Linked DNA regions of Drosophila melanogaster. The protein of the gene in region 2 purifies or fractionates together with the protein of the main gene of each other region. This does not show direct contact. Each region holds a gene or a part of one and is shown on either strand. Other genes may lie near its edges.

Evidence for each region.
Region 1: the proteins of Cdk5alpha (region 2) and Cdk5 purify together in Drosophila melanogaster (affinity purification with western blotting, with the first as the bait; one study listed by BioGRID). This does not show direct contact.

Annotation. Positions count from the first base shown.
Region 1 is NT_033778.4:15,568,999-15,573,607, forward strand, and holds Cdk5 (Cyclin-dependent kinase 5), read right to left. Parts: upstream 2,420-4,609; 5' UTR 2,305-2,419; coding exon 2,137-2,304; intron 2,073-2,136; coding exon 1,885-2,072; intron 1,725-1,884; coding exon 1,360-1,724; intron 1,298-1,359; coding exon 1,134-1,297; 3' UTR 541-1,133; downstream 1-540. Other genes in the region: Flo1 (flotillin 1), read right to left, coding at 121-172; CG30466 (uncharacterized protein), read left to right, coding at 517-540, 2,680-3,759, 3,815-3,928; CG8204 (uncharacterized protein), read right to left, coding at 4,191-4,393, 4,452-4,609. UniProt on the Drosophila melanogaster protein: Probably involved in the control of the cell cycle. Interacts with D1 and D3-type G1 cyclins. Possible regulator of neuronal differentiation and/or development.
Region 2 is NT_033779.5:10,307,317-10,312,549, forward strand, and holds Cdk5alpha (Cdk5 activator-like protein), read right to left. Parts: upstream 3,641-5,233; 5' UTR 3,228-3,640; intron 2,994-3,227; 5' UTR 2,989-2,993; coding exon 2,056-2,988; intron 1,635-2,055; coding exon 1,497-1,634; intron 1,438-1,496; coding exon 1,232-1,437; intron 1,160-1,231; coding exon 1,018-1,159; 3' UTR 815-1,017; downstream 1-814. Other genes in the region: CG4968 (uncharacterized protein), read left to right, coding at 1-177, 242-655; l(2)SH0834 (lethal (2) SH0834), read right to left, coding at 4,014-4,468, 4,583-4,742; Usp14 (ubiquitin specific protease 14), read right to left, coding at 5,068-5,233.

The DNA.
Region 1 (4,609 bases), on a different chromosome or scaffold from region 2:
GTCACTTGGGGTGGGGTGTATATATATGTGTGTGTGCGTGACAATTTCATTTTTATTCACTGACTTATTTATTTAATCGATTTGACATTATTTTGAGCATATAAGGATCGTGTGATTTACCAGAGACAACTAAAGCCTCGTTGGGGCCGCAGGTTACAAATCCCCAAGTCATTTCTGCAGCACTTATTTGTTATTTATATTAGAAAATGGGTTGCTGCTGATAACAGCTTTTGTTTTATCTGCGCGGTTAACACAGTTTTCCGATTATTAACTATATAGCGAATTATCCGATCCACAGGTAGCCTTGTTTATTCGTCTAATAATATATATAAAAGAATTTCCGAGGTACTCGGTGCTTAAGATTCAGAAATCCGACCGGTTCGGTTAGCAATTCGTAGCACAATAAAAAAATCTCTCAATCTGTAAAGTTCTCAATTTCTAACTCGCGAGTGCGCAGAACGACTTTAACCCCTATTGAGTGCCGGGGGTTGAGGCGACCACTTCAAAATATTCATCATGCTGCGACGACGTAGTGCTGCGGTAAGTGTCTTTATTGGTTTAAAAATCTAGGTTACATCTCAATTTTTTTTATTCTAATTTACTTAATGACTCATATCATTCAGAAAGATCGAAATTCTTAAAAATACACAATAAATGTAATAAGAAAATCGTCGACACTCATTAAATTTGGAAACCAGATGTATTGCCTAGTTTTTAGTCTTTGAAAACAGAAACTAGGATTTCAAATATTTTTTCCACATTCACACAAACAGTAGATATCGTCTAGGAATTTGAACAATTTTCGGATCTTAACGATACACTCAACATAAAAATTTTTAAGAATAAAACTATTTTACTGAATCAATAAGTATTTTATCGATAAATGTTAATTTGGCAGCTCAAATGGCTATATTAAGTGTCACATTGGTAGGGATTGTCATAAATCAAACCTTTTGCTTTGGTAAATCAAACTAATGAAATTATAAAGAACTTTTTATCTTATACTATAATCGAACTCTACTGCAAGGACATACATATATAATTAAAAGATCTTTGCTGGACAAAGTCTCGCATTTTGGCTTAAGTCTAATCAAAGGTCGTGAAAACAGTGGCTTGGAAAGAACCTTCCGACCTCAATGTCCCGAAGAGCTGCTGTCCGTAAAGTAGGGATGCTGCATCGCCGCCTCCGCGCTAATTCGCTGATTTGGCCGGCAGATGAGCAGCTTTTGCAGCAGGTCGCGTCCCTTGGAGTTTAGCCTAGGTACCAGCTGACTCCACGAGGTGATGGCCGGAAAAGCTATAATATAAATAGGCTTTTAATATTGGTATCGATAAATAAAATCCGTCTAGAATCCCTACATGGAAGCGCCACGTAGTCGGAGAGGTGCGAAACTCCTGGCCAGGAGTCCTCGTTGGGGGTGCCCAGCACACGGAAGATCTTCATCAGCTGATCGAGCACGTCAGAGCCAGGAAACAGCGGTCGTCCAGCGTCCGCCAGTTCGGCCAAAATGCATCCAGCGGACCACATGTCTATGCTGGTCGTATAGAGCTTGGCTCCAAATAGGACATCGGGTGGTCGGTACCACAGGGTCACCACTTCTGCGGAGTAGCACTTCACGGGAATGCCAAAGGCTCTAGCGAGACCAAAGTCAGCTAGCTTTAGCTCGCCGTTTTTGTTGATCAGCAGGTTCTGTGGTTTCAGATCGCGATGCAGGACATTATGGCTAAAATAGGATAATGTAGCGTAAGTTAAGTCTCAATGCTATAAAATGGATATCATTCGGAAATGTGCCACAGATGAAGTTACTCCAAATAACACTTGATTCTAACTATAATCGACACAAGATAAGACCTAATCCAGTGCTGATACATATATAGGTATACCTGTGGCAGAATGCCAGTCCGCGGAGCAGTTGGAGCATAAAGCTCCTGCAGACGGCCATGTCGATCTCCCCGTTGAGGCTGTCAAAGTACTTCTTGAGGTCCTGGTCGCAGTGCTCGAAGACCAGGGTGAGTTTCTTGTCCGAGTGCAGGACGTCTATGAGGCGCACAATGTTCTTGTGCTTCAGCTCCTACGGATGGTAATGTGCCGATTTAGTTTATAAACTGGAATCACTTCCTGCTCGTCCGACTGACCTTCAGCAGGCAGATCTCCCGGAGGGCAGAACTGGGCACACCCTCGTCGTCCTCGTCCAGTCGCACCCGTTTCAGGGCCACTATTTCCATGGTGTCGCGGTTGCGACCCTTGAACACCGTGCCGTAGGTGCCCTCCCCGATCTTCTCCATTTTATCGTACTTCTGCATTTTGCTGTGTTTTGGTGTGTATTATTTTGCGTTCAGATGGAAAACTCCGGGGATTATTGTTTTTGCAGTTTGTTTTTGCTGGCCAGGGATTCGTGCGCCTAACAGCACACTGTTATTCGCTTACAGCACGCGGTGACTAACCAACATCGCAGCTGACAGTCTGCTGTCACCAAAAATACTCAAAATTAACAGATATCATTTTAAAAATGTTGATAAAACTTTTGTTATAATTTTATTGTTTTATTTGGACTCGATATTAGCTAAACATACGAATATAGACCGACAATGATAAACACCGATCTTATGGTACCGCAATGCAACAATATAGCAGAAATATAAGTATACAAGTTTCCTAATTTCTTTTGCCCTTTGCAGAATACCAAGCCTGGCTTACTATGTCTGCCCGATGATGTTCTAATGATAATTCTAAGTTATCTCGACTTGAAGACCCAACTAAAACTGAAAGACTTTCATTTCCGGTTTAAGAAATTAATGCCGTATGTGTGGCGTGCTTATAACAAATGTGCATATATATCCTTGATTGAAATGCAGCTGAGCGACAAGGATTTGCTATTCTTCCTGGAAAGTACTCAACAAATCCTCAGCACTCTGCGGCTCAAAATGAATAATAGATCTAACTTCGAAACACTTACCAGCTGTAGTTTTCCAAAACTTAAAGATTTTCGATTTTCCACGCATTCGTTTAACTTAAACGATGCGGACGTGCCAAGAATGTTGAAAACTTTTCCAAATCTGACAACTTTTAGCCCCCATGGAAAGTTTACTGGCAAACACTTTGATGAATTCGAGTTTCTCGAGAACCTCACGGTCTCCTACTGCAGCAAATTCAATGTCACCAACTTGATACAGATCCTGAAAACCAGAAAAATAAAATCCCTGAAGCTGGGTATCTTCGATATTGACCAGATTTCGAACACAGAACTGCCCTGGAAAGGGATTAGAAACCTAGAGCAGCTGCAGTGCTTCCAGGAGGAAATGATGGTGTGGTTCCTATCGAAACTGGAACGTCTAACTCACTTGAAGAAGCTATTTCTTTGTGGTCACGTTAGATACGGATTTCTGAGAGAGATTCTCATAGCTGCGAAGAGAAGCACTATAAATATGATCGAGATAAGCCAAAATACATCCATATTTTGTGAAACTTACGGTTTAAATGTGGCTATTAAGACCCTAAAGGTGGCTAATTTTGGTATGCATGCGTATCAGCATCTTCACATTAATGTCAATGAATTTTATATACAAAATTCGGTTTGTGTGGACGAAATTAAGTTTCATACCTTAATACAAAACCTAAACACACACGAGGTCCTGGGTATATACCATTGCACCTTCGGATTTAAGGAGTTCACATTCGATGCGAAGAAACTGGGAGAAAACCGTACCACAGCACTTAATATTTATGTGGAACTAAACACGTATCTCATGTCTAATGAGGTCTAAGTATTTCACAACTTATATTAGCTTTCGTTTCTAATATTTTTCATTACAGGATCCCATCCCCATGACCTGGAAAGTGCAAGGGGAACATAGGCTTTTCAAGTTGCACATGAAGCATCCAAAAATCACTTTTAACTCGGATCCAGTTTCAATTTACTTTGATTGAGTTTGATTGCCAAGGAACGAAGCTGTAGACTGATGACTAGTTTGATATGCCAGCTGAGATAGATAACTTTAAATGGCCGAGCCAAATAATTAGTTGTACGTTTTCCCTGGTTATGGAAAAGATTCAACCTTACCGGCGGATTTCAATGAGAAGTTTCCAGGAGTTCTTCAATGCAAGCTCCTCTAGAAGCTGCCAAGGATTGACAGTACTATTAGTTACAAAATAAAGGCTTAGTTTTATTGAGACTGTGTGTCAACTTAATTCAGGAGTACAACTCAAATTCAGTGCGCTCAGCATCCGTCATCGGTTCGACGACTTGAAGGCAGGCATTAGCGAACTCCACGAAGAGTGGCTCCTGCATGGCGGCCATCATGGCCGACTGGGCATTGATGGCCACATCAATCTGCTGGAGCAGCGAACGCAGGTGTGGATTGTGGAGCAAATTACGCAGTTCCTGGCAGTTTTCTGTACGGAAACCATCATACTATGAGAAATGTGTATAATTGCGAATTTAAACACCTACCTAGTTGCTGGAGCTTCTCCGCGGCAACTGTGTCGTCGGTGGGGAAGGGCACATGAAGCGTAGGTTCCTCCTGGTAGCCAACTTCAGTCTTTTTCAAGTCGGACTCCCTTGTCGCACATTGGGGCGAATCCCTGTGTGTCTTATAACAAGCCACAGAG
Region 2 (5,233 bases):
CGCCGCACCCGCCCCGATGGCAATTGTTTCTTCCGAGCCTTCGCCTACTCCTACTTGGAGTACTTGATCTCAAACACCAGTGCCTACCAGGAGTTCAAAAAACTGGCCGAGGAGTCCAAGGAGAAGCTCGTTCAGCTGGGATTTCCTAGTTTTACATTGGAGGACTTTCACGAAACGGTATGTTTAGCCGTACAAATGCAAAACGAATTCCCTATGCTTATGCAGCCTTTTGTATGTCCAGTTCATGGAAGTCATCCAGCGCGTTAGCCCCGACAATGCAGGAGGACACAGCACGGTCCAAGATGAGTTGCACAAGATCTTCAATGAGCAGGGTTACTCAGACTACGTGGTGGTTTACCTACGTTTGATCACCTCGGGAAAACTGCAGGAGGAGGCCGATTTTTACCAAAATTTCATCGAAGGCGACCTCACCATTGAGGCGTTCCGCCATCTGGAAGTGGAGCCGATGTACAAGGAATCGGATCACATCCACATAATCGCTCTATGCACCGCCCTCGGCGCTGGAGTTCGTGTCGAGTACTTGGACCGTGGCGAAGGTGGGACTGTGAAGGCCCACGATTTCCCCGAGGGAAGCGAGCCCCGAATTTACCTGATATATCGACCAGGCCACTACGATATACTGTATCCAAATTGAATTGCTCTCAGTAGTTTCTAGATTACGAAACGATTTATGTATATAAGATGTATAATAAACTACCATTTATTTGCATATATGGTGAATATTTTCCTTCTCTTTTGGTTCTGCATAAGATTGAGATTGATTGATTAGCCCAGCAATGGAAACACAGATTTTACACATATCGTAGATGTTAATTTATTTAAACACTAATCTTTATTATTTGATTTGAACGATTGTGATAGTGACATAATGAAATTGTCTAATGTTTTATAAAATATTAAGTTTTATTAACGGTACTTCGCCATCATTTCATCCGGAAATTTCTGGCGATGCGCAGACAATGAGAGGTTGACAATAATCTCCCGGTCGTCCATCCGTCAGGCGCCTCCACAGTATGATTTAATTGTAGGATGATATTGACCACAAGATTTCAGCTCAGTAAAGACTTCGGTAAAAAATCCCGGCTCAGCATTGATTTTAAGCATTTTATCACTTAGCTTGTTCACAATGACGAGGCACCTGTATGTTACATTAAAGATTAAGATGCAGATGGAAAATATTTCATTGAAATTAACTTATTATTTGACATACCTGTCCCAAAACTTTTCCTTCGAGTCTTCAACCAAAAACGGTTTGAGTGGATAACTGATTTCATTGCCCATATACGAATAAGACAGATACAAACAGGTGAGTACTGATGCCTGAAGATCCGATTCCTTGCTCTCTTCTCCGCTGACCAGCTCGCGGACTAGCATGTAGACAAACACCACATTGGCTGGGTTTATGAACGCCACGTCCTTGGAATTAAATGTTGTGCTTATTGTTTGAAGGACATGTGGCAGAGTAGCTACTGTACCTGCCATCCTTGGAGCAAAAGGCTGCGATCCACTGCTCTGAGCCACATGACCGCATCCCCGGCATCGAAATTGTTTAGCCTCTGACAACGACAGTGCAAGAACATGCCCAAGCACTTAAGCAATTCCGAAGTGGAGGCCTGCGAGGTGTTCGAAAATAATATAAAGTATCCTATATAAAACCAATTTCATCTTTTGTTTGGAAAGCTGAAACCAGCTATCTTTGACAAGCGGGAGTTTTAAATCTATTGTATCGCTTATATAATTAAATCTAAACGTATTTCTTTAAATCAGTTCCAATTCCTGAACTTAAGGATGTACCATGCAATAGATTCGCCAAAGAAAATATATTATCTCGTATTTTGTTAAAGAACTTATTATGAAACACAGTGAAATGCTTAAAAATCTCATGATTTGACTTTCATTATATGATATGATATGGTATCTAAGTTCAAAATTTTCTTTTCAAAAGTATGCTACACAAGTTGGATCCCCACTAATATGTTAGGATCTCAAAACTGACTTGCTAGATATAATACCATATTTTGGTACAATACGCACCTGAATGACGGTCTTGCGTGGGATCTGGTTGGTGTTTTTGGTCTGAATGGACGAGGCCTGGACTTGCTGGGGCAGGCTGAGCGTCAGGGGCTGTTTCTGGATCAGCTTGTTGTGGTTCGACATGGAGTTCTTGTTGTTGACCTTGACGGGGTCTTTCGCCTTGGAAGGATTCTGCGATTTACCCGGCGGACCGGTCATGACCTCCTCCCGGATATCCTGCACCTGATTCTGGTTCTGATTCTGATTCTGATTCTGGTGCTGGTGCTGATTCTGGAGCTGAAGCTGATGCTGGTGCGGATGGGGATGGGGATGCTGGTTGCAGTGCTGCTGGTTGTGCTCATCGATGCGATTGCAGTGCAGCTGGATGTTGCGATTCTTGTCCGAGGACGAGGCGAACGAGGACTCCAGCAGCTGGGCCTTGAAGCAGGCCGTGGGCAGGTTGGCGCACTTGTTCTTGTTCTCGATCTTCTTCTTGTTGTGCGACGTGGAGAGCTTCTTCCACGAGAGCGCATTGATGAAGATCGAATGCTTCTTCAGGTTCTTCTCGAACGAGCTCTTCTCCGCCTTGAGCACCGAGTTCTCATTATGCGTGTCCAGCACATTGGTGATGGTGTCCTTGGAGGCGTTCGCCAGATTGTTCAAATTGTGTGAGCTCAGCTGGGTTTGTGTCTGCAGATTGATGTGAACGCCGCCACACTGACCACCCGGCTGGCCAATCACATTCTTGGCCATCGGATGGCAGGCGGACTTCTTGTTCTCCCGATTCTTGGCATTGTTCAGCTGCTCGTAGGAGAAGTTGTTCAGATGGGAGTCTATGGAGCCAGTGCTGTCGTTCTCGTTCCGCATATCGGTCGAGTGATTATATTGAAAATTTGGCTGGGACGAGTAGATGGGATGGCGATCCCGCGGATTGAAGCTCAACACCGTTCCCATGATGGCTGCAATTGCGAATGGGTTTGCAAATCAATAAGACTGAGACCAAGACCCTCGTCGCCCTTCGTTAGTAAGGTTATTTTAAAATATTGATTTTCAATCAAAGTACTCATGCCTCATTCTCACTTAAAGCAGTTATATTCAAATGGATAGCATTCAAATCGAAATCACACCCAGAAAACTCAGCTTAATTTGTAGTTTCTTAAACTTTATTCATGGATACCAGAGGTAGTTTTTACCTTATTAGTTTCGTATTACTCGGGGGAAAAAAAATCTGCCAAGTGCGTTTGTAAATCCGAATATCCTTGCGCAGCAGCTCGATGTTATGCCATTTTTAACGGCTGCATAATTACACTTATCTACGGTAGCCGATTGCACCAATCATATATTTTTTCAAGCACTAATTTCCACCTTGCACTTGTTTATGAAAACATCTTTTCGCCACAAGCTTATGAAATAAGTACACAGTCTTAAAATCGATACAAAGTATGCGCAGGCCCACAGGCGAGGGTGGGCACTTTTCCTTTTTTCGCGTTTCTGGGCATGCTCAGTGAAGGTGTTTTCCAATTACTATTACTATGTCCTGACAGGCGGACGGGCCTGGGTCTATTTTTAGAAATTCTTAAAAGAAATGTAAGAAACCAAGAGAATTGTTATTTTTCGCAAAGATATTTTTTGTATTTCTATCTAACAACGTATTAACAACTTATTATTCTTTGTTTTAAGAGATTTGAAGACATTTTTTCAGAGTTAAATGAGTTTTTTTAATAATCAGCCAACTTAAGTTAGAAAATTTAGACTTAAAACTGAGGGTTGTTAACGGTTTCAAAGTTTTTATACATAAATATTTCAGATAAACAGTGCTGTACAGCACCTAAAGTCGCTGCCAGTGCTGAAAACGCAATGGTGGTTGTTTTTTGGCCATCGACTGACGTCCTTAATCTGAGATGAATGAATGATTCAACTAGCTTTGATAGTATTTGTCTTGCTAATCATGTTGCACACCCCTAAATAAGACATAATTTTTATTTAACAATTGTAGCATATTCGGGTCTAAAATTTAGTAAGAGCATGCTTCCTGAACAAACAACACAAACGGTTATCGCAAGATCACCCAACAATGACTGAAGAATAAAAAATATACTGCTAAACTGCTTAATTTTGCTGGTAATATTCGGATTGATGAACATAAGTAACAAGGGTCCCATGCTGGCCGGTAGATGGTCTTCTTTGTAATTCTGCAGAAATGCAAGCTCTGCAATCACAAAAAGCAGAACGGGAATGAAAACACTGGTGTTCGTGTAAAGAGCCAAAAGAAATCCAAAGCAAGCCGCCAAAATAATGTGAACTCTGCTCTTAAGAAATGCATTTCGTGACGTGGTTCTTTGGGGCGCAGGTTGTTCTGGCAGAAATGAACGCCTTATTGGAATATCCGGCTCCACCTCCGGATCGGAATATTGCGTATTTGAGGGTTCACCATCTGCAATTAGGAAATCATAAACATTTATAGATGGAGAGTTTGACACAAATCATAACATTGGCATATGTACAATATATGTACACATCTGTATGTACATAAAAGATCATGTGTTACCGAGGTTTTCATTCTGAAACGCCGACGTCGATCTGCTATTCAATTTGTCCAGTCGTGCCTTGGACGCTTCCAATATTTTCTTTCTGCGCAATTCCCGCCGCAAAGCAAGCGACTGCCGTGCAGAATTCGCATCTGCTGTTCCTGAATCATTACTATCCATAATTATAAACACTAAGATAACTTGCAATTTGACAATTTGGGTGTGACCTTATTGCTGTAAAATACCATCTTGCCCCTGTCAAGGTAACGCCGACAAGCCGATTGGAAACGAACCGCTGTTGGTAAATTTTAAACCAAGCCGTTATTTGAGTAAAACATATGCATTAAATATTAAAACTTTTTCTTATGGAAACCTAATAATCATTTTGTGTCACAAACCAATGCGAATTGAAGACTTGGAAATGAGAGCTCACCCTTAAGGATTTGGTTATTTATTCAGAATTATTATATTAACAATACAAATGTAATGACGTTAACACAATTACTTATAGTTTCTCCAAACGTCTGGGCGCATATAACAGGACATAGGCGCAATGCCAGTCTCCGCCACCGGAAAGCCGCAAAATCTCGTCCGTGGCCACGGCGGAGACCTCATCATCATCGAACTTGAACCACACATCGCCGCTGGAGCGAACCCAGGCCACATAATGA